Linked DNA regions of Struthio camelus. The protein of the gene in region 3 purifies or fractionates together with the protein of the main gene of each other region. This does not show direct contact. Links are inferred from orthologs where the notes say so. Each region holds a gene or a part of one and is shown on either strand. Other genes may lie near its edges.

Region 1 (7,574 bases), about 8.8 Mb from region 3:
AAAACAAAAGAAATGAAAGAAAAACAGTAAATTCTTTTGAGAAAAACAGCACCTACTTTGTTAGATAACAGGTATCAATGAAAATTATGGAATTCTTTGAATTACTGGTAACAACTGGTTCCATGACATTTTCTTCAGAAAAATAGGAAACAACTCACAAACATAGGAGGAGCAGTAGAATGATAAGACACTTCCTGCACTTTAGTAGTCAGGTTCAGTGAATTAGAATTTTGCCATGTTTTACTCCAGTAGAAAGACTAAAACAAGCAGGTGATTTAGTGAGTAGCACTTGATTATTTTTTCCCCACTTGAGGGGGGAGAGGGGGGAGAGGGGGGAGAGGGGGGAGAGGGGGGAGAGGGGGGAGAGGGGGGAGAGGGGGGAGAGGGGGGAGAGGGGGGAGAGGGGGGAGAGGGGGGAGAGGGGGGAGAGGGGGGAGAGGGGGGAGAGGGGGGAGAGGGGGGAGAGGGGGGAGAGGGGGGAGAGGGGGGAGAGGGGGGAGAGGGGGGAGAGAGAAAATCTGATGTTTTAGGCAAAATCCCAGGTATTTAATCCAAATAACAAATTTTAGTCCCCCCCAAAGTCATTATCATAACAGAAATGAGCTCTATCAGAATGCAAGAATCAGACTTATTTCACTGAAATGCAGCCTACAGATTGCCTTGCAGAATTTATTCAGATGTTTCGCAAGCTCTCCAGGAAGCACAAACCTACAGCAGAAGGTAAGAAAGAAAAAAGAATTTCAGGTCTCTATCCCATCAACCACCAAGCCATCAACAGCTAAGAACCTGTATCTGATGCAGACCATAAGACTTGATTTCCCTTTAAATACAAGAACAAACAAAAACAAACAGAATTTGACACTAGATCCAAGTCTACCCAACTAGTTCCCACAATTATTTTCTAATATGACTATGCATTTATTCAAGAGCTGAAACCCCCGTCTAATATGGCTAAGCTAGCAGAAGCTCCTTAAGTCTGTGCTAAAATACTCTTTTTTGTATGACTTGGTATGCTTAGGGTAGACAAATGCAGCTGTTAGCTTTCTCGCCACCAAATCCAGCCTCGCTGATATCACTAGGTAGTAGTTAACAGGGCATCGCCAGCGTAACATCATGGTACAGCATCCTACCACATGGCCTTCCCAGCACAGGATTCTGAAACATACTTCTACAAGAAGCAATCTGACAAGGTAAACTACAAAAACATTTCCAACATATACAATAGGCCAAGGCTTTTAGTTCCTCTCTCCTACTAATGCAGTTTAAGCATTCTGTCCACCACACAAGTGACACATCACCACAGGTCTGTCACTATTACTTCTCTAGAACCCTATCTGACAGGTTACTAGGTAGAAGACCTGAAACTAACAGAAGCCTGATGAAGTTCATTTCACTGTGTTAGAAAAGCAATCCCAAGGAAAACAAATGCAGCAAAATGAGCTGATGTAATAAGTGAATGAGGAGCTGTCCTCAGCAGAACAGGATACAGTACTGCATGCCCATACGCTTATGAGAGCTACCAGTCAAGACTGATATAATGATCTAGACTGATGAGTCTAAGGAAAAAATCACTTGAAATACCCTATTTCACCAGACACCCTAAACGGGATTCAGTGTTCCTGACACAACTACGTCCTCTGATTTTGCATAATTTTACCAAACGTTATCAGGCAGTAATTAGCAGACCTGAAAGATTGACACTACATTTCTTTCTATTGGTAAAAGCTCCAGACCTGGAGTCACGGTTTACTACGGAAGAATTCAAGCACTTTTGTTTAAGTCAGCAACTCTATGGCATGATGCATGCTTCATACAAAAATTAAGAGTCGTAGAAACCCTCAGCAACACATAACAAAAAGTTGGGCTGGCAAAGCAAGAGGGAAAGGCAGGTCCCTCACACCCTCAGCAGGGCTCAGGAGACGCACGAAACACACTCGGCATCTGTAAAACTGTGCTCGGCCCATTAAACCCAGTTCTCTTCCTGCGACTCCCGCTCTATGCAGAAAGCTAAACATCCCGCCTTCTGCTGGAAAACCAGACCAAAAGGGGGAAGGGGGGGGAAAAAAAATCCAAAAAATCGCCCGAAGGGCGGAGAGGCGCGGGGATGTGCGGGTGACCGGGCAGGAGGCCGGCCGGCAGGGAGGGAAAGCTCGCGGCGACGGTCGCCACATCTCCCACGCCCCCCCCCCAGCCCCTGACTGCCGTCTCCCGCCGGCGGAGCCTCGCACACCGCCGCCGCCTCCCATGTGCTCTGCCCAGGCCGCGCCGCCGCCCGCCCCGGCCCAACCCGGCCCGACCCGACCCCCCGCCCCGGCCCTCGCCGCGGCCAGGCCACGTGCGGCGGCCGCGGCCCAGGGGGTCACTTACGTAAGGGGCCGGGCGGCCGCGGCCGAGCCCGCCGACAGCCCCCGCCGGGCCCGCGCTGCGCCAGCGGCGCCGCTACTGGCCTAGCCGCCTCGGGAGCGCCCGGTACCTGCTGTTGGCCGCAGGGCGGGGGAGTGGGGGGGGGGGCGAGCGTCGCCACCGGCCACCGCCGCCTTCTGCCTGCGCCGCTCCCGCCCACCTCCCCCACCACCTCCCCCATTTTTCCCCCGGTACGTGCCGGTGAAAGCGGCGGCATCTCCCGCAGCGGTTAGAGCGGCCTCCGCCTGCCCGGGCCTCTGCCCGGCGGTACCGCGCCGCCCTACGCCGCGCCGCTCTCGGTGCCTGCGCAGCCGCGCCGCGCCCCGCTCCGCGCCGCGCCGCTCCCTCCCCTCCCCCCGCGCGCGGCACCTACCTCGCTCGCTCACCCGCCGCGCGGGGGGCGGGGCGGAACGGTGTTGGGGGGGGGGGCGGAGATCTCGCGAGAGCGGCCGCGGCCACCGCGGGAATTTTCAAATTCGCGGGGCTTGGCCGCGGGCGGTGGCCGCCTGCCGGGGAGGGGCTGCGGCCGCGGCCGCGGCCGCGGCCTCCACCGAACTACGCTTCCCAGCATGCCCTGCCGCCGCCGCTTCCGCTCCGCCGCACCGGCTTCCTGCCGCCGCCGCCGGCGGGCCTGCCGCGGGGCACGCTGGGAAATGTAGTCGCTGAAGGACTCCAGCGGCCGGCGTCACGAGCAGGGCGAAGGCGCCATTTTCTCTGCTGCCCTCGCCGAGCGGGTGGCCGCGGGGGGAGGGGGGGAGGTCGCCGTCGCTTGGTAGCACCGGTCACCGGACAGCTGCGCGGCAGGGGCTGCTCCAGCCTCGGCGCGGCAGACGTCTGGCTCCTCGGTAGCAGTTTGCAGGCCGACTTCGGCCAGCGCAGCTCTGTCTGCGACAGCTGCGGCCATGCCCGTGCTAGGGACAACGCGACGCCGGGTGCAGCTGTGTTTCAGTGCAACTGCTAAGCCTGGTCCCGGGGTGTTAGGGGCCTGTAAAGGTGGTGGTTCTGTGTTAAAATCCAAGCTTGGGCTTGGACGGGTTTATGCCAGGAGTATTTTGCCTGTGAAATACGTTACGTGCCAATAAAATATCTTCAGCTGTAGAAGTAGCCTGGAAAAGGCGGAAGGCAAACAGAAATTAAGCGTCAGACCTAGACAAGCACGCGCACCTCAGAAAAGTACTGCTAGAGAGCTTTTTGATCTAAACCCCCGTAAACAAAGATGGTGTTTCCATTTGATTCCTGCTGTGACCGAGGGAAGAGGACTTTGTACGTTTTGTAAATAAACAGGTTTCCAGAACTGCCTGATTGCGATGAAGTTTCTAGTTCATTGCGCAGGTCTGTTGCCCAGTTAATTGTTTCTACTTGACTGCAAAAGCCTGAACAGCAAGGAAGCAGAAGCATAACTAGCATTTAATGAAATAATACTGGCAAATTAAAAATACGTTTAAGGAGTGGATTAGCTCTAAATTTTAAATACAATTTTTAGGCTGAAAACATATCTATATGCCAGCATAAATAAGCATCTCTTTACAAATGAAAGCCATGACGTATTCACCATTGAAATGAGGAAAGCAAGAGGCACTTAGCTATACAAAACTCTTCTTTGCAGCCATTTTGAGAATAATTCCTTGGGTCGATTTGCCAAATAAGTTAGGACTTTCCCATTTCCTTTGCAACATCACCAGCATCTTGGCAAGATACTTACCCTTTTAATTTTTGCCACCTGGAGGTAGAATGTCACCAACATTAGGAGAAGGAAGTGTCTTTGCACCTTGCATTTCCATTACTATTCTTCCGATTCTAGTTTGTGCTTTTTGATGTTCCAGATGTTGTGTCATTCAGGATGAGAAGCTGATAGCAGTGAGGTATCTCTTGGGCAGTACTGCTTATGTTCGAAGAAGGAGCAGAGTCCCACTTTCTTGTACTGAACAAGAATTAGGAAGAGAGTTCCAACCCCTTTTCCAACCAGCAGTTGCACCCAGGACCCCCATTTTTCTCTGGGTAGCCAGGCACAAGGCTATTTGTTCTCTTTTTCATGTTTTCAAATCCCCATCAACATCCAGAACACAGTTAATCAGTCTGCATATGCCTATTTGGTAATCCTTTTATTTCAGCTACCAAAAAGGCTCAATTGCTTTTATATTCATCCCAAGTAAAAGAAATCCATTAGCCCTCCCAGCTTCAGCAGAGCATAGTACAATCAGTAACACACTTAAACAACAGCCACCTAATTTCTTCTGTTCAAGTGTTTTGCTGTTGTTGCAATTTAAGTAAAGCTTACTCAACTTACAGTGGTGCTTGCAGCATCATTTATTTTCACCCTACAGTGTAAACGAAGCACAAAGTCTTCTCTTTTCAGCTTTAAAAACAACAGGATAAAATTCTGATCCCTGGCACTTGGACAAGTTTTTCTACTTTCTCGCTACGTTTTCTGCAACCCACCTAGTATCCAGCACAAAGAGATTCATTGCACATTGCAGTCAAGATTATTTTCATTATAATGTACAATTTGTTCAGAAAATACCAGAGCTATTAAGCATCACTCAGGCAGTTTAATACCTACCTTTTCTCTTATAGTCCCACCCGTATGTCCTAGAACACCCTACAAACAAGATCGGAAATCGGAAATCAAAATATGTCAGCTTTGTCTGGCAGACCTCTTCCAGCACCACTCTCTAATATGTTTAATTGATGTTGGAGCAAGGGCAGCAAAACTTTGAAATGAATTTTTAAACTCACAGCACAGTAAAACATGCTCAGAAAGACTTACTGAAGAAAACAACCAGGTCACTAACACACACACTAAATAATCCCACCTGAAATTTCGGTATAATCTTTCTAAACAATAACCTTTTGTAAGCAAGTACTAATCTGTTTCCCATCCCAGCAAGGGCTACGCTCAGAGTTTCTTTAAGGACACACTTTTATTCAACACAAAAGTCAGGGAAAAAAAACCTCAGTGTGAAACATTTCCACTGTAGAATACAGTCTAATCAAACCATCTAAAGTAGATGATTAGAAGATAACTAGTAAACAGCCACCTCTTTCCTCACCTCCTTTTCCCCAGGAGAGGAAATACCTGCCACTTTCCAAAAGTGGCCTGATAAGTGCCTGCTGCCTTCCTCCTCAGTCCCTCTGGATTTTAAAGCTATAGGTTATTTTGCTGCACTTTTACTCTTATTTTTAATAAGAAAACATATGTTAAAAATCAGCACAGTCAACATAAAATTAAGGTGGCACTGTTAGCCACTGCAAAGGCAGAAAATAAATATGAAGTGAAAAGTGCAAGTCTAATGCTATTCCTTTGGAGTATAGGTGTTCCAATATGGTCAAAACACTCTTTTACTTTAAAGTTTAAAATTTCAGATATTAATAAAGAGATCTGCAGGGCTACCAAGAAGTCTCTCTCCATTCTGTACATCAGCTGAGCCCCCTCTCACCTCTTTAGGGCCGCCGTTTGTGCCAGGAGCATTGAAAGAATGACAAATTGACTCAAGTCTTCCCGGCTTCCTACAACTGCTAGCAGCATATATTATCTCTAAATTATAGCTGCGCGTCTTAAGGTTAAGAACACTATTTTTTATATAGTTGTGGAAATGCTGATTGTGACTTGGTGGTTTCTGTTGCCATTTTAGATATATGAATTTGTAGCACATAGGAGCACAGATCATGGACAAGGACCCCTCTCCGTCATGCAGTGAACTATCATGGGACAGTCCAGCTCCTGGTGTATCGTGGGAGATGAGGTGTGCCTACAGTCAGCTGGGAATGAATCAGTGAGACAGTATTTGTCAGCACAAAGACTGGCTAGGAAGCCTAACTCTTGTCAAGCTTTTTGCAGGCAGTAAGGGAAAGGAGAATTTTGAAGATGAGTTGGTGTTGCAGATGTGTACCGACAGCTCCTCCCAAACATCCTGGCCAACATGAAGCATGTAGGGCTGTGTTTGAAAACATACCGAAGTGGGTGATACCACAGGCTGATCAGTGATGGCAGGACTGACTCTCTGTTATGCCTGAGAGGCCAAGCATGAGACAGGCAGAGCCAGGAAGGGCTATGAAAGGCCTAGAAAGTGAAGACAAATAGCTCACATTTGATGTAACAGAGAGTAAAGAGCTAGGGGAGAAATACAAAGATAGGCATGGCAACGTCAGAGGACCAGCTAGAGAAATATTATTTGCGGACGCATTTAGGGTGATTATGTACAGGACAAAACGGTATATATTAAGGACAGGCAATGCACTTTTGTAGTAATCACAATTCAAAGTGATTACAGCTTGGACGGCAGTTTTAGCTGTATGGATGGAGACAGGAAGGCCTCATGTCAGAGATTTTAGAGAGAACAAGGCTTAGACCTGGCCTGAATAAGGATGCAGGGAAAAGTGTGGACCAAAGACACAGCCAAGTTGTAGGCATGCATGGCTGCTGGTCTAAACAGTGACTGAGCAGAGAAGGAGCACCATAATGAAGTGGTCTTGTTTCAGCCAAGCTTAGCTTGAACTGATAGAAAGGCTTTCCTGAAGAGACAGCAGAGAAGCAGTGAAGCCTGCATTTGGAAGAAAGGTCGAGGATTCATCTTGCCAGTTTTAAATATCTGCAGTGCAGACATTTGCATCAGAGCTAGTCGGAGGGGCTCCCTTTGTAGCAGCGGAGAGAAACAGGCTCTTCCTGGCGGCTCTTCATCTGGCCTCTTTTAGGTACCTGCTATAGAATAAGGTGAGGGTCACTTGGCTGTAAAGGGAATCTAGACAACTGGTTCAGATGGAGACACCTACGCTGTACCCTTTCACTTCTGGTCAGATCAATCCCACCTTAAGAGACTGATCTGAATAGAGCACTGGATCTTAAAGTTGTCCAGAAGGTGAATTTATGTTTGCAGTGGAGATTACCCAGTGATAAGGCATAGAAGAAGAGAAGAAGGACAAGGAGAGGGCTTTATGCAACCCCCAGCGAAGTCTGGCATGGAAGATAAAGAGGATCCTCCAACAGACTTGCTGAATGAGCGCATAAAGGGAAACGGGACAACAGAGTTGTGAAAGACAAAGAATAATGTCTCAGGAAGCGAAGCACAGTTGACTTGTGGACGGTGGCTGACTAGTGAAGGAAAACGTCGAGGGAGAGCTGTAGCTGACGACAAGCAGGTCATTGGAGACTCCAGTGAAAGCGAGGCCGACTG
Region 2 (7,717 bases), on a different chromosome or scaffold from region 3:
TGTATTGCAGTCCTATTAAATAGAAGTTTACAGACAGTTGACAAGCTCAATGCCCCAGTTATCCTGATGAAGCATAGAGACTGGTCTTTGTATGTCACAGTTCTCAGAAAAGTTATGAAAAAAATAAAGAGGAGGCCCAATGTTGTAACATTTAATAGACCAGCCTCTTCCTTTTTTAAAGTTTTAGAATATGCAAAAAGGAGACATTCAATTAAAAATGCGGATATTGTTTTCCAACTTCCTTATTCCTGCTACCAGTATGTCTATTGGTAACAAATTCTGCCAAGGTAATTAATTAATGGTACAAGACTGCACGCTAGCCTCTGCTTTAAGTGAGAGGTGTTACAGATGTTTTTTAGAAGTGGAGAAGGCTGTTTTATTATAAGGAACACTGTATCTACAAGAAACAGAAGTATTTATACTCTACAAGTCACAAAAACTAAGTACATTTTGACAAAACATGGGAGAAATTACGGTCTAACTGTGTAATTATTATCAATACAAACCTTCCAGCTGGCAGTGCAATGCCAATCCCCGTTTTCACTTTTGTCCCAGACCTATTGAGAAATCAAAATACAATCATACTACTAAATAAACTTTATATACAAGTTGTATAAAAAAAACAGGGTCATTTAAAAAAAAAAAAAAAAAGGACCACAAATTATTTCCCTCCAGAAAATCCTTTCTGGTCCAGTACACTACTACACTTCACTCAACCTTGAAAATATCCTTAATACAGGTCCGAGGAAGAGCCACACATCTGCAAAACCCACTACAGTATGAGGTCTCCTATTTTTTTTTACAGAAGACAAATTATTACAATTCTCATCTCTTCACTTTGATCTTACATTCCATGGGCATGCCAAAATTACTCCATTTTACCATAGCACTCCTATGATCCTCACCATGGCATGTGCTCACAGATAGTTCCAAAACCTCGAGGTGGCTTCTGGCAATCACAAAGGACAGAGTAGGACAGCAAAGAGAAACTGATCCCAGTAGGTTAACAGATTTGGTTCATACTATGTCTGACCTGAATTATAACCATCCTGTCAATAATTTTTCTCAACTTCCCAAAAATCTTGTCTTTGCAACTTTTTCAGAGAAATCATGAAGAAACTCATGAATCTCATCAAGGAAAGACAACTCCAGACACCTGGCAGCCACTCCTTGTTTCTCACTCATTCACTGTATAACCGTATTGAAATAACATTGTCTCACTTTTGTCATTCTGGATCTCTAATACAACCTTGGTTATAATCAGTTCACCAGGCCAACTCCACAAAAATTGCTGCCCGATTCCTATTCTGCAGGGCCCACCTAAGGCAGAGGGGACCTAAAACAGACACCAAATAACAGATATACTGCTATTTAAGCAGTGTTGTAAAATTCTCGTTAGAGTAAAATTTCTCAAGACTCTCTTATAAGAGATACTGGTATGACTGGAAAGTAACTTTATACCACTGAACAATATTGTTCCTAAATTTCATCTACCTTATGGCACCTTTCTTAAGTATATTCTCTTTTAAGCTTTACGTTTTATATACTTAATCCAGATCAAAGGCTGACTTACATGCTTGAGTGGGCTTTTTTTGAAGTGCGGGGAAGGGAAGAGGGGCTGTTTACTTATTTTTAAGCCTCATCTAAATTAGACAGCTATTTACTGAAAAGTGCTAACGTTTTATCGGCCATTTTCCAGAACTTAAAAAAGAAAAAAAAATGCTATTATTGCCCTCTGCAAACTGAATACCTTAAATCTAACAGTACGTAACCTCTTCTCCCTATACTCATATAATGGAAAAAGCAATTAACTTTCCATTTATCATGATTTTAGTTCCTCTAAAGGAGTGTGAAATAAAGGTTTCTAGCATTTTATCTGTGTGAGCACGCACAGAACGTTTCAGCTAGTTGTTGATTGTCGGCGCTTCGGTATGAGACGTCGGCTTCCTCCCTTAGTGCCTTCAAATAAATACAGCTTTTCAGAAGACACAAAATAAAACTGCACTGCTGTAGCCACAATGGTTTAAGGATGTTAAAAAAAAAAAAAAAGTAAGAGCTGTCAGGAAAAAGAACATATCTATTTAGACCAATTAATACCGATAGGAAAAGCCTCTCTGGGTACTGGGGCACACAGTCCCGTCATCCCACGTGACACGAAAACAACAGACTACAAAAACTACTGCTCCTGTTTCAAATCCAAAAAGGAGAATCAGGTGCTTGTGTGGTTTTCCCAGCTGTAGCAAGGGGTCGAAAAAAATTATGTATTCCTGTGTCTGTGTGTGCGTTTGCACATGTATATGTATATATATACTTACATATATACATACTATATACACATGTGCATGTGTATATATGTGTGTGTGCATATATATATATTAAAAAAAGCATTATGTATAAATACATTGTGGCTTTACAGTCCCTGCCGTTGAAGTCTGGGGGCGCAATCATTTAGCTCAAGAACGGCAGCTGGGGCTTTCTGCAGCATTTGCCCTCCGCAGTCCCCGGGGGAGGCCGAAGGCCGGTCGCCCGCCCGCCGGGGCGGCGGCTCCCGGGCGGCTGGAGCGACGCTTCGCTCCCAGGCCTCGGCGCCACAAGGCGGAGCGGGGAGAGGGACGGGCTCCCTCGGGCCTGGAGGCCCGCCGCGCCGCGCCGGGCAGGGCGGAGCGGCGGCCGGCCGGCCCCCGAGCCCGGCGGCTCCGCACGGCCGCGGCCGGTGCCCGCCGGCGGCGCGGTGGGCCCTGCAGGCCGCGCCGGTGCCGGGCTCCGCGGGCAGGCGCCACGGTGCCTCCTCTTCCTCCCCGCCCCGCCCAGGCCCGGCGGCTCCCGCTCACTTTGACGCTCTGGTCGCTGGAGCACGTCGCCATGCGCCGCCCGTGGAAGTCGAAGGAGACATCGTGGATGAGGTCGCGGTGATCCGCCGCGATGCTGCGCGCCACGAACATCTCCGCGGCCCGGCCCGGCCCGGCCCAGGCGCGCGCCCTCCTCGCGCCGGGGGCGGGGCAACGGCCGCCGCCGGCCCGCGCTCAGCCCCCAGAGCCCTCCGCGCCCGCCCGCTCGCTCCTCCCCCTCCTACAACGGCCAACGTGCGTTCCGGCGCCGAGTGAACGGCCCTTCGCGCGCGCCCCTCCCCTCCCTTCCCCTCCCCCTGCGGCCGCGCTGGGGCGGGCGGCAGCCGCGCTGGGGCGCCCCCCTTTTCCGCGCACCGCGGAGCCGCTCTGCCCTCCCCAGCCACCCGGCGGTGACCCGTCCTCCAGGGGGAAGGTCTTCCCCCCCTCCCTCCCCGCCCCCCACGTCCGTGGGCATCCACAAAGCAGGCAGCGAGCGCCTCCGTGCCGGCGCGGGGGAATACGAGCTGTCCCGAGCTTGGAGTTGCTTTGTTGAGGGCTGCTGCTCTGGCCGGAGCTAACTCTGTGCTTTGAAAATAGGGCACTGCGTGTCGTCGCAGTGTGGAGCCACGCGCAACGTGAGCCGCAGTGACACTCAGTAGTGAATCTCTCACAGAGGACAGCAAAGCAGTAGGCATCAGATAAGGCCTAACTGAATGAAACCAGTCCTGACTAGGAGACGTGTAAGAAACATAATATTAACGTTCCTTTCTAGGTGATGCAAGGTTGAGCTTTCTCGGGAAATCACGGTCGTCGTTTTGGCACCTCAGAAAGCAGCAACCTTGCTGCCTTTGGACAGCCTTCTCCAGGCCTACGTTGCATCTGAGACCTTTTTTTCTTTTTTTATGGGCTTTGGGGAGGATTTCTTACTTCACATCTTGGTAAAGGAATATTTAAAACAATTAAATGTAGTTGTATCAGTAAAACGTGAATTAGACGTGAATACTATATTCCAGTAGATGGCAGTAAGTCATAGATTTCGCCTTTTTGGGAGCCATCTCAGAAACACGTTAAGTCGGTTACGGCAATCCGACACAGTAATTCTGAACCTTTTTGTATGTCACTGCCACCATTGTCCCACATCCTCCTTTCTCCTGCTGCTTTCACCATCTCGTAGGAACCCTTCGCAGCTGCTCACCCAAGTCCCCGCCTGCTTTCTCGCACTACTGTCCTCAAGCTATATTGCTGCCTCCTAACCAGCGCTGCAGCTGCTTCCCGCTTTCTCCCCTCTTCTAGCCAGGGCTATTGCCATTTCCCTCTCTTTAGTAGATATTGTTAAGCTGGGCTATAATTTACTCTCTTTTTACATTTCCGTACTTCCAACGTTGGAGCTCTCTGCAGCGATGCAAATCCAAAAAGCACAAGCAACATTTAACACGTCAGTTTTTGACTTACTTACTTATCAAAGTACATTTACTTCTTTGTTTTATGGTTTACTCTATTAATGATTACTATCAGGTCAGCCCTGAGAGTACTGTGGCGTAAAAGAACATGAGACCTACTTCTAGGAGAAGAGGAGGTAATATGGGCCAAGTTTGAAAGGTTTTCTAGGAAGGACAAACAATGTGCATTTGACACAGGCAGAAAAGGAACATCTGAAGGAATTTCAAGACAGGTTAGAAGCACTAGATGAGATAAGGTGGGTTTTGGATCACATGAAAGACTACGAGGAGGAAGCAGAAGAAAAGGAAGAGGAGGAAAAGAGACGTTTTCATGGAAGAAAAGAGTTTCCAATAACTCAGGTCTGGGCATGAGCTATAAACCAGTAGTGACTAGTGTGAAGCCTGAGGGCCATACGAAACAAATTAACCAAACCAGCCGGAGGCTCTTCAGGGCTGAATACTCTCACCACTGACCTGCTGTGTTCCCCAGACAGCCCCTTGCTAACGGAAGCACTTTCTTCCAGTTTGCATCCTGCAGTATCAGCTCCCAAACTGAATCACGCAGCTCTTCGGAAGAGTAGCGCTAGTATGTCTTTAATTCCCTTCAGTTTTTGCATCATTGAGCTCAAGATTGGTCCAGTGCCTTGTTTTTAAGGAATGTTTCATCCATAAGCGTAGAATGCCATGTTATTTCCTGGTTAATCTGAAGCTGACTGTAATAGCTGACAAATGTTAATGTAGAGAAAATAAACAATTCTTTCACTAAAATTCGCTAATAATGCACTTAGTAGGTTTAGAGACAACAGTAAATAGATAACAAGGAGATGATGAAGATAGATGAAAGCAAACCACACTTCTACTTAACTCTACTTCATGTCAGTTCCCAAACAGCGCTCAAGCCATTAGGACAGCTTCATTGCCTTGTAGTTGGGATCCAGTTTTCAACAGGATCAATAGGTACTGCTATTAAAGAAGAGGATCATGATGTGGTGCTTCCTGAAACCAAATTCTCTTGATTCAAATCCGAGTCAGACCTTTCCCAAAGCCTTTTTTGTATCTGCACCTTTAACCAGAGATTAGTTTTATCATTTTGGAAAGGAGTTTTGACTCCTTCCACCTCATTTAAAATTTTCGTGTAGCTTGGTCTTGGCAATAAGGAGTCAAATTCAGTCCACTTAGTGAAGAGAATTTGTTAAGGAATGCCTAAACAACAAACAAAATTATAACGAAACCATTATCTGATTGTGAGATAAACCTGGCAGTTTAGGGTTTGATATTTAGTGCATTTATTTTTCGCAAACTGTAAAATATATTCCATGGTAACTAATGGAGCTGCCGCTATCACATGCCATGGAGACTACTTCACTCGTTTTTTGAATCATACGCAAATGTACTTCATAAAAGCATTTAACATTGTAGTAGACCTCATATCTAGACTAGATACGTTGGCACCCAGAAGTGATAATGGCCGATACCAGACTGATGTACGTGACGAGAAATTTGAACGTGAAGGAATACTATGGCATTAAGATGTTAGGATTTAATTATTTCAATGATACCGGGTAAGGATAGTTAAAAAATAAATATTTTTGAGATACTAGAGAGCCAAATCTAAATGGAGAGCAGGAAATAACATTGAAGAGAGAAATTTGCAAATTGTTGTCAAGGAAATTAAGGCAACTAAGTTGTACCTATTTATATTGGTGGGGAATTTGGTTTGACATTTGCAAATTACAGAAAAATTGTAAAGCATTTTTTTAAATGAGGAGCTAATCAGAGGAAGGGAGTAATATTTTCCTGTTTCTAAAGATGAACTGGTATTGCACAATTCATCCCCTAGAGAGAACCTCACTGTGGATTGTAGGGCCATGGTCAACACATCCCACAGAGTAAGTTATTTCTAAGTAATACGTAAAATGAAAGCAATACAATAGGAGAAGCAAGCAAAGTTGATCATTCGTGATAGTCCCAGTGCTATAATGAGAGACGGTATTAAGTTTTGCATGTTGTAGGAGAAACACTTTTATATTAGAACAAAATAAACAAACATATCCGAAAAATATTCATGCACTTACTTGGATTGCTAAGGAGAAATATTTTTTTCTCTTCTTTTAGCATTATTAGAGACTTTTATACTTTGAAGCGTCAGTTATTGCTTCACTCAAACAGCTGGAGACTCAGTCGTAGTAAAAAAAACATTCAGAAGTTCTTTAATGCACAGAACTGTCTCTGACTGATTTTGTTTGCTATTTTTGAGAAATGTCCTCCTTTTACTGTAAACTGTTGATTATATTTATAAAGAATTGTGGTTTTTTTTCCATAAGAATTGTTTCCAGAGTCATCATCAAAAAATCCATTCTTTTGCAATTTTTAGTAATAAAATTATTTTGTCAAGACTCCAAATGTGTTACAACTAATGAATTCATAATTTTCTTATGCTCAGATTTTAATTTATCTCTTCAGCCAATAATATTAGTATATTTGGAGCAGGGCAAACTGGTCTGATTCACAAAACAATTGTCATCAATGTGTTACATTTGAAAAAGAACTAGGAAAAAATTAACATCTCCTTTTTAAAATAGCTAAATAAATTTTCATTTCAAAACTTGCCTATTTATGTTTAAAAATACCTAAATATTTAAATATGGCACAAATGCACATTTTTGTTTGACCTAAGAGGTTTGTGGGGGGTTTTTTTGACAAGACAACAAAAATTGTACATTTCAAATCAAGACTAAACTTTTTGTCTTACATTTTAGTTTAGTCAATAAGCTAAAAAAGTCTACCGTTCTTCCAGGCTATTTTTACTTATATACACATTTATTTATTTATTTAAAGACAACTTAGCCCTGTCCTCAGTCTCTAGAGTCCATGCAAGTAGGTCAGTTTGCAGCCATTAAGGAACTGGGCCCAAAATCTTCATTTACTTAAAGACAGAAAAGTCCAGGGAATATGTGGGAGATAGATTGTCATCCCAGTGCCTTCATTTACCTTTGTGTCTGAGTGCAGTCAATATCCAGTCATAAGATAAACATATTTATCCCATGCAGATATTTGTATCGAGCGTTTTTGTGAGCAAACCAATTGACATCATAGAATTAATGTTCAATAGAGGAAACACTTTATGCTGAAGCATCAAAATTACCAAAGGGATGAAGGGGCAAGTTATACCCCTTGTTAAGGCAAGCAGTCATTAAATAGACAATCACTGTAGTAAATGACATCTGTTCTAACAAAGAAGCATTCATATCTTCTGGCAAATGAAACTGCTTATTTGAATTTTAAAAAATGGCCAGACCATCTCTTGGATTAAGAGGAAATAAAATAAATTCTGTGGAATAAGATTAAATCTGTCTGGACCTCCCCAGAAGGACTTCAAATGCTATACAAGAGATCGGCTATGCAAGCTAATATGCCACATTAAAAGAGAGATTTTCTAATGGTATAGCA
Region 3 (7,892 bases):
GTGCAACAATTTAAACATCCTTGACAGCTCTGACCAGCAAACACTTCTAGTGCCCTTCTCTTACTGGTGACTGCAGCTTTCTATCTATTTTAGCCATTATTTCTTCCTCAATATAATTATAAAGAGCTGCTTTGCATCTTCCCCCACCTTCTCTCTGCGGAACGGCATAGGTCCATCTTGTCCTTCAAGCATGATTAGGCGGTAAGATTTCTCCGCTTTTAGAACATACTGTCTTCTTTCCCCTCCCCCAGCAGAAATAATAATGTAGCATAATTCTTCCAAAGGGAAATATCAAAAGACTATACAAAGCTAGAACACAAGGCTGACTGGTTCTAAAAGTGCCTAAAGTAAAAGGTCCCCAGAACTGAAAATGGGCACAGTCTTGCTCATCTCAACAACAAATAGCCGCTTTTTGAGAAAAGCGATTCTGAAGCCCTGAAATTGATTTGGGGCTTATTTTAACTCTCAGTTCTGATTCATGCGGAACAAGACACAGAAAAGCCTAAACTTGGAATGATTTATTTTTTAAATTCAGAGGGGCTTATTTTTTCACATTCTTCCTGTACCAGAGAAACATTTGAGGAGCCGTCAAACTAAAATGTTAATAAGAAATATTTAGAATATACTGAACATGTGGTATTTTACCTGAGAACTATAAAAGAACCAGAAAACTGTGAAGGATAAAATTTTTCAGTCAGAATTTGGTACCATAAGAACAGAACGTGTCAAATATCCTACAAAGGTTCTAAGAGCATCTGAGAAACTAGAGACTAGTAAAGTCAACTCTTGTAGTAGAGTAAATTAGCAAAATCAGTAAACAAATAGATTAGTAACAAGCGAGATTTTTTTTTCCTTTTGTACAGCAAAATCATGCCTGACAGAATATTGGGGGGGGGGAGGGGGGCAGGGAACGGGATCAGTGAGTATGAACTGGACAATACTAAGGATTTAAATCCTTAATAAGCTTTCAAAAAGATCCTGTGTCAAAGGTTCTTGAAGAAAGCAAGCTGGCAGACGAGGAGAATCTTACTGTAGATCAAACTTTGTCTAACAGACAGCAATTAACAAAAAGAATATAGAAAAAGACAGGCTGGATTATACAATGCAGGAAAGTTTTCAGTAGGAGAAGGAAAGGTCCCATTCTATAGGGTCTGTACTGATACCTAAACTGTTCAGCATAGTCATAAAAGGAACCAACTACCACAGTGACAAACTTTCTTGACTGTACTATATTATTTAGGATAGTTAAATGGCAAATACGGTATCTGAATTATTAAACACAAAATAAAAAGCAGAACAGAAAATATCATTATTAGACTATATAAATACACAGCATGCCCACTTCTTGAACACTAGGGTGACCTGGCATGCACATATCTCAAAAAGATATTGCAGAAAAACTACCAAAGAGAGATTTAAGGATGATTAGAGATGCAGAATATCTTGCAATGCATCCCAACAGAAAACAAACAGTAAAATTAGACTCAGGCAAAAGCAGCACTGTATCTATGACAGATCAAGCATGTACCAATGAGGCAAGGGTAGCAGAGATAGGAAATCTTTTATTTCAACTTTCAATAGGGACAGGAAAAAGCAAGAGCTTTCAGGCAGAATCCTTTTGTTAAGGCACGCTTCTAATTGGATCTAAGAGATGTACTGAGGACACTGTTTTCCCCTTTCCATTCAATAGGTCCCAATGGCTTGTCTAAGCCTTTATTTGCTTAGGCGACATTTTGTTTTGTAGATGCCAGAAGATTACCTGGGAGAAAATGCTATTTGAAATAAACGCGTCTGTTTCTGCACATCAGTTTTGGCTCTGTTTGTCAGACTTAAGGAGGAGACTTGCAGCCCAACTACTTGTCATTTTTTCAAACTATGCTACTTTTTATATTGTATCACTAGGCCAATTTCCTATTACCTCTCTCCACAAGTACTGTTTTACTTCTGCAAAGAGGGAGACTAGTCTGTTCAGATCCCCAGGAATAGTAAAGGAATAGTAACGTAACTCTAAAAGACCAAAGAAAACAAAACAAAACACAAAAAACCAGAATCTTTCCCTAAACAATGAGCAAGTAGCAAGTCAATCCTGAACAAGAAGGCAGGTGACACAAACTGCAGCCCACGTCTTTTGCATCCACGCAGCAAAACGTACCAACGCTTTTGGTCATTGTGGAAGAGGGAGCGGAAAGAACACCAGAAAGCGACGGAGAGAGGGAGAGAAGGGAAGGAGAGCAGATTCCTCGCAGCAGCGGGCCCAAGGGTCACGGGCAGGTCAGGCGGGGCCAGCATGGCCCGCACACCCACGCAGCTGGAGGTGCCAGCCTCACTCACGCTCTCCTCAGCGGGACGGGAGCTGGCTGCCCCACCAGCAGCCCCCGCAAACCGCGAACTGCAGTGCCCTATCTTCCTACCTACTTAAGGAACCCCAGCAACAGAGAACTCGGGATTTATTCCAAAAAACATCCCTGAAAGGGAAAAAGGAGAAGAAGCAGGGGGAGGGAGAGGGGGGCGACCGCTCGGGTCAAGCGGCGCCACCCGAGGCGGCGGCAGCGCGCCGAGCCCCGCCCCGCCCCGCCCCGCCCCGCCCCGCGCGCGCCTGGAGGGGGCGGGGCCGCGGCAGCCCAACGGCCCGCGGGTAACGGCGCGGCGGCAAGAGCAGGGCCGCGCTGCGCTCCGCCCTCGCCCTCGCCCTCCCCCCGGGGCCGCTGGCGGCGTGGCGAGAGGCAGGGAACTCACCGAGCAGAGAGGGAGCCGCTCCTCCGCCCCACCGGGGAAAACAGCCCCGGGGAGCTGCCTGCCGCCACTACGGCCAGGTTCCTCCTGCCGCCCGGCCGGGAGAGGGGGCTGGCGGCGGCGCTGCCGAGGTTCCTGCGGGCCGACCCGCCGGGGGTCCGCGGCGAGGCGGGAGCCGAAGGGAACATGGCCGGGGACAGAGGCGAGCGGCGCCGGCCGTGCGGCAGATGGGCTCGGGCTGGGCGCCGGCTTTCTGCGTCACTGTCGAACGCGCCCGTCGCGGGAAGCAGAGGGGAGGAGCAGGGCGCGCGGCAGGCTGGTCCGTGCGGGCCAGCGGCGGAGACCCCGCGCCGGCCGGGTGCGGGGCGGGCCCTCTGGCGGCGGCCGTTGGCGGCGGCCGTTGGCGGCGGCCGTTGGCGGCGGCCGTTGGCGGCGGCCGTTGGCGGCGGCCGTTGGCGGCGGCCGTTGGCGGCGGCCGTTGGCGGCGGCCGTTGGCGGCGGCCGCTTCGCTCTGCCGAGTACGACCCAGAAGAAGGAAACTGTCCCCACAAGTGCGCTGAAATTCTTAAAATGCGCAAGTGTTAACGCATCCAATTTCTGTCTTAACCCACATCAGTCCTTCTTCGGCGCCTCCAAAAGTAATAGTTTAATCGGGGGAGAGCAGAGTTGCACAGCTTCGGGCCAGTTAAAATGGCGGTGAGCTTCAGAGAACGATTATCCGATCCTGCTCTCTTTCAGAGCACAAGAATTGGAACGGTCACTTTTCTCCTCCAGCAGTGTAGGCAGTCAGCTGTGCCAGATGTTCATACGGAAAAATGCAGGTCCTGGATCCTGCCGAAGAAGGCTGGATGCGTTCAGTCCTTCAGGCTGCTCCCAGTGGCATTCAAAAGACTTGATTTGGAACCCAAGGAAAGCATATCTGCTACCGATCAACTCGCTAATAGAAAAAGAAAGGTAACATTGAAAGGTAACTATTGAAAGACCATTTCAAACTGCTCTTTTGCACTTTTGGAAGGACGTGTTTCCCAGCAATACGGTTGCCTGATGTTGAAAATACCCTGTGCTGTAACCTGTGCTTATTCCAAAGTTCAAATTTAAAAAAAAATAAAATTGTAATTTCCCCCAAAGAAAACATAGCGCATGAAAATTTTAGTATGTTTCACTTCTATGGTAACTAACAATCATGCACTACAGAAAATATTTACTATTACAGAATTTATTCTGTTAAATGGGAGTTAAATTTTCTCACTGAAGTTAAACATTCAACTTCATTTTTTGTATGAAAAACACAGTTTCCAGAAAGTACATATGTATCATCGACTGTAGGGGAAGAATTTGAGTTATGTCATTGTCAATGCAGGTAATTAGTTGAGATAAAACTAACCAAAAATAGAACAGTCCATAACTCCCCACAATTTTCCCAAAACACGTTCTTTGATTAAAAAACAGCTTATGGCAATACAGACAGTGGTCCAATATGACTGAAACCGAAGAGCAGAGAAACAAATTTGAGATGCATCATCTGGCAGTACTGAAGAATGAAACTTCTGTCTGAATGTTTCAGTGCTTTGCCTTTTAATTTCACCTGGTGTCCCGTTGTTTTGGTTTTATTGGAAAGGCAAAATACAAACATTTAGTGGAACTTCAGTATAACGTTACATTCACGTTGTATCTTTCTGTATAGCCTTCTCTATTTTGCTGCATGCAGTGATGCTGAACTGTCATGTTACTGGTGTTTCATGGAGAAAAAAATAAAACCAGAAAATGCATACACAAGCAAGTGGAGAAAAATCTGAGTAAAACTCAAGCTGCCATCGAGATCTCCCAACCCCCACCAACAGTCAGAGTCAAAGTCTTTTAAAAAGTGATAGCTCCCCAAAACATCTCATTTCAAAAATATTTAAGATAATACAGCGTAAGCAGTTTTTTGCTGATTGAATTCTGACTCGGTATTTACTCAGTGAATTGTGTTTCCTTTTGCTGTCCCAGACCTGTTTTAGAGCTCCATCTTCAGGACAGAGGAGGACAATTCAATCTTTTAAATAGGAAATCTAGCTAATGCTAATTGTACCGTACTAGTAGGACTGGCTAGAGACTTAACCAGTCCTTGAACAAGGACTTGCATAGTACTTGTTTTTCACATGAAAAACTGAATGTCCCGGAGGCAATTTTGACAATAGTGACCTAGTCAGGATTTGAACTAAAAGAATGGAAATAGGAGACTTGTACTAGACCACGTCTTCAAAGTGTACAAGAATATTAATACTTTTGTACTTCTATTTTTGATTGATCAATGGATTGAAAACCAGTGTAGAAAATGTTCCATAGCTACGCTAGCCCCAAACAGTCACCTATCTATTTAGAAAGAAATTAGTTTGAAAGGGTAGCAGCAGCCAGACCACACCATCTGCAGAGCGAACAACATTCCCATGAATTGATGGTTTGTATGAAACAAACTTAACTTAATGTGCCTTATGGGACGATACAGAGGTTTACACAAAGATGCATATGAAAGATCAGTAACATTTTTTTTTCAAAAGCTAGGAAATATAATGTCTTACACATCAACATAGAGTTCCTTAATAGGTCAGCACAATACTCTGTTGGTTCTTTGCATCATCAGTTTAAGACCTCTTAAGCAATTTGCATCAATTGCCCCAATTCAAGACCCCTGAAATTGTTGAGCAGTGGAAAGTCTGTGAAGACAAAATTGCTTAAGACTTTAGAGAGGATATGCACTTCTAGAAATTCACTTCTATTACTCCCCTAAATGGAATCCACTCCCTTTTCAAAGATTAAAATACTGACAGAGACTATATCAAAAAATTAAAACAAAAAGTTGCAGTAACTGTTTGAAACCTGACTTGAATAAATTAGCACTTTCACAGAGATGCTCACGTTTCTAGTGAATGATGAGTGACAATGCTTTGATCAGTACTGTCTTTAAGTATTAAAATAATAAATAGTTTAATAAGTAAATTAAGTAATAAAATAACTTAAGGCACAATTTATTTTCAGTGTCTTACTTCCTTCAGGAAAACATTTATGCTCCCAGGAGTTACAAAACAAATAAATTAGGAACACAGCGAAGGGATAAAGTGCATATTGAGAGTTGGCCTGTCACTAAGACTGCAAGTACTCAACCCTAAGCAGTATATTCCACTTAGTAAAGTTGTTTTGAAAGCACTTAGATACAGTATTTGAGCCCTGAAAATCATTACTGGCTAGCAAAATTAAAAAAAAGAAACAGTTCTGGCCCCCAGGCAAGGATGAAAATAGGCCCCATTAATAAATACATGACTTTGAAACAATGCCTACGTTAGGTATCCCCTAAAATAAGGCCACTAGCAATAGAAACTGACATTTAAAAAAAATCACATATGTATATATGTGTAAAAATAGTTACATTTATTTTTAAACAACCGGGAAATCATCTTTTCTACTTATCTATACAGAGAAGATGCGTTTAGCCCAAGTTAGAACAGCAGTGCACATGGTACAAAAGAGAGATGGTTTTATATTATGTGTTGCACACTAGGGCTAAAAGGACACTAAACTACCATTTGGGAAGAAGGTCTGGTCTTTCTTTCAGGAAATGTGGGATAAACTTAATCTGACTTAGTAAATTGCATTCACTTGTGACTGAAAGCATTTTCTGCACCTTTTGGCCTCTGGAATACAGTAGGAGTAACACAGCTGTGTTTTGAGCCTGCTGACACTATCCTTCATGGAACTGAGCCTGTTCCTACTTACAGTAGCTCCATCAAAAGAAAACAGCAAAGAGCAAAGCAGAGACAAGATTTTGAGTTCAAGCAGTGACCACTACATCATCAGTTTCAAGAATTTTTTTTAAAGCTGACCTATGCCCTTTTCAAGTCTTCTTTATACATCACAGAGAAACTCTACCATTTTTCACCAAATGTCTTATCTACTTGGTACTTGTTAGGATACCCATTTTAAAATATTAGTACTAAAATGGACTGTGTACATCAGAGTGAAGAGTGTTTAGAGTATCCTGCCAAATCATACCGCAGCTGGCGATATTTCACTATGTGCTAACTGTGTCAGCAGATTTCAGTGTTGCAATTACAGCCCCATTAGAAGAGCTTTTCAAGCGAGTTCAGAAGTTAAAGTGTCTGGCAAAATAATCTCCTATCCATGCACTAGACTAGTAAGCAGCTGTTGACATTTAGATAACTGGAGAAGTTCTTTTTAAGAACAGATGAGGAATAACAGTTTAAAGTTAAAGAACTCTCCAACTAGTTTTCTCCATAGCTTTTGTTTTCTGCCAAATCCTGATAGAGCACTGAACTCTGTTCCAAAGAGCCTTGCCTCTCAGGATCTGGCTTTTGATGGAGAATTTGAAGCTTGGGCAATTTAGTTTCGCGTTACTTGTTTCAGGTGAACTACTATCAAGGGCGTTTTCCTGTTGTGTAACATTTTATAACAGTATGTTCTTTCAGGCTTTTTAACAGAACTTCAGACTAAGTAACACTGTATACACAGCATAGCTGTTGGGTTCGAAATTTCAACTTTCAGGAGAGGAAACTATTTTTGGAAGGTCAAACCTCTTATTAACAGTACAAGTATAGCACAAAGTAACAAATGTTTTGCATCTAAGTCTTCATCTATGACACGCAGTGTTACTAAAAACTGAAGAAGTCAACACTGGAAAATACAGTTAGGGAGTATAATAAAGTTTGTTTTATAGTGCTTTTTGGTATACCAGTCCCAGGTATTAACTCAATTAGTTAAGACTTTTATACGTTGTGTGGCTCCTTTTCCCCTTATGGACCACACTGCACAAGGCAGAAGCGTGAAATAAAGCGGCCCTGAGCAAAGTATGCCTATCAGGATTGTCAGATAGGCACCAACAGCTTCAGCCTTGAACAGGCGGCCATTAAACTCTTGTAACAAAACAGAATACAGTAATTTCTCTCCTTCGAGATACTGTCTCTTTAATACTCTGGCAAAAGGATCAAATTTCCCCGTGAAGCTCAACTAATGGGGCTCCCACAGTTCCCCATGCAACGATGCAGAAGGCTGACTTGCACTGCTGTGGAGGTAGACAGCATACCATGTGCACACAAAGGCCATATCGCATACGTTGTACATATGTAAGCCACAGATCTGGTGCTGCCCAGAAAAGCTTACAGATT

Evidence for each region.
Region 1: the proteins of NUP133 (region 3) and AHCTF1 purify together in Homo sapiens (affinity purification with western blotting; 3 studies listed by BioGRID, with this or other methods). This does not show direct contact. The link is inferred for Struthio camelus from reciprocal best matches to the Homo sapiens genes NUP133 and AHCTF1.
Region 2: the proteins of NUP133 (region 3) and SEH1L purify together in Homo sapiens (affinity purification with mass spectrometry; 4 studies listed by BioGRID and IntAct, with this or other methods). This does not show direct contact. The link is inferred for Struthio camelus from reciprocal best matches to the Homo sapiens genes NUP133 and SEH1L.

What each region holds. Positions count from the first base shown.
Region 1 is NC_090944.1:100,274,385-100,281,958, forward strand, and holds the start of AHCTF1 (protein ELYS), read right to left. Parts: upstream 3,028-7,574; 5' UTR 2,777-3,027; intron 2,741-2,776; exon of another isoform or gene 2,603-2,740; intron 1-2,602. UniProt on the Homo sapiens protein: Required for the assembly of a functional nuclear pore complex (NPC) on the surface of chromosomes as nuclei form at the end of mitosis. May initiate NPC assembly by binding to chromatin and recruiting the Nup107-160 subcomplex of the NPC.
Region 2 is NC_090943.1:113,515,300-113,523,016, forward strand, and holds the start of SEH1L (nucleoporin SEH1), read right to left. Parts: upstream 3,014-7,717; 5' UTR 2,943-3,013; coding exon 2,832-2,942; intron 558-2,831; coding exon 507-557; intron 1-506. UniProt on the Homo sapiens protein: Component of the Nup107-160 subcomplex of the nuclear pore complex (NPC). The Nup107-160 subcomplex is required for the assembly of a functional NPC.
Region 3 is NC_090944.1:91,500,693-91,508,584, forward strand, and holds the start of NUP133 (nuclear pore complex protein Nup133), read right to left. Parts: upstream 3,008-7,892; 5' UTR 2,922-3,007; coding exon 2,737-2,921; intron 1-2,736. UniProt on the Homo sapiens protein: Involved in poly(A)+ RNA transport. Involved in nephrogenesis.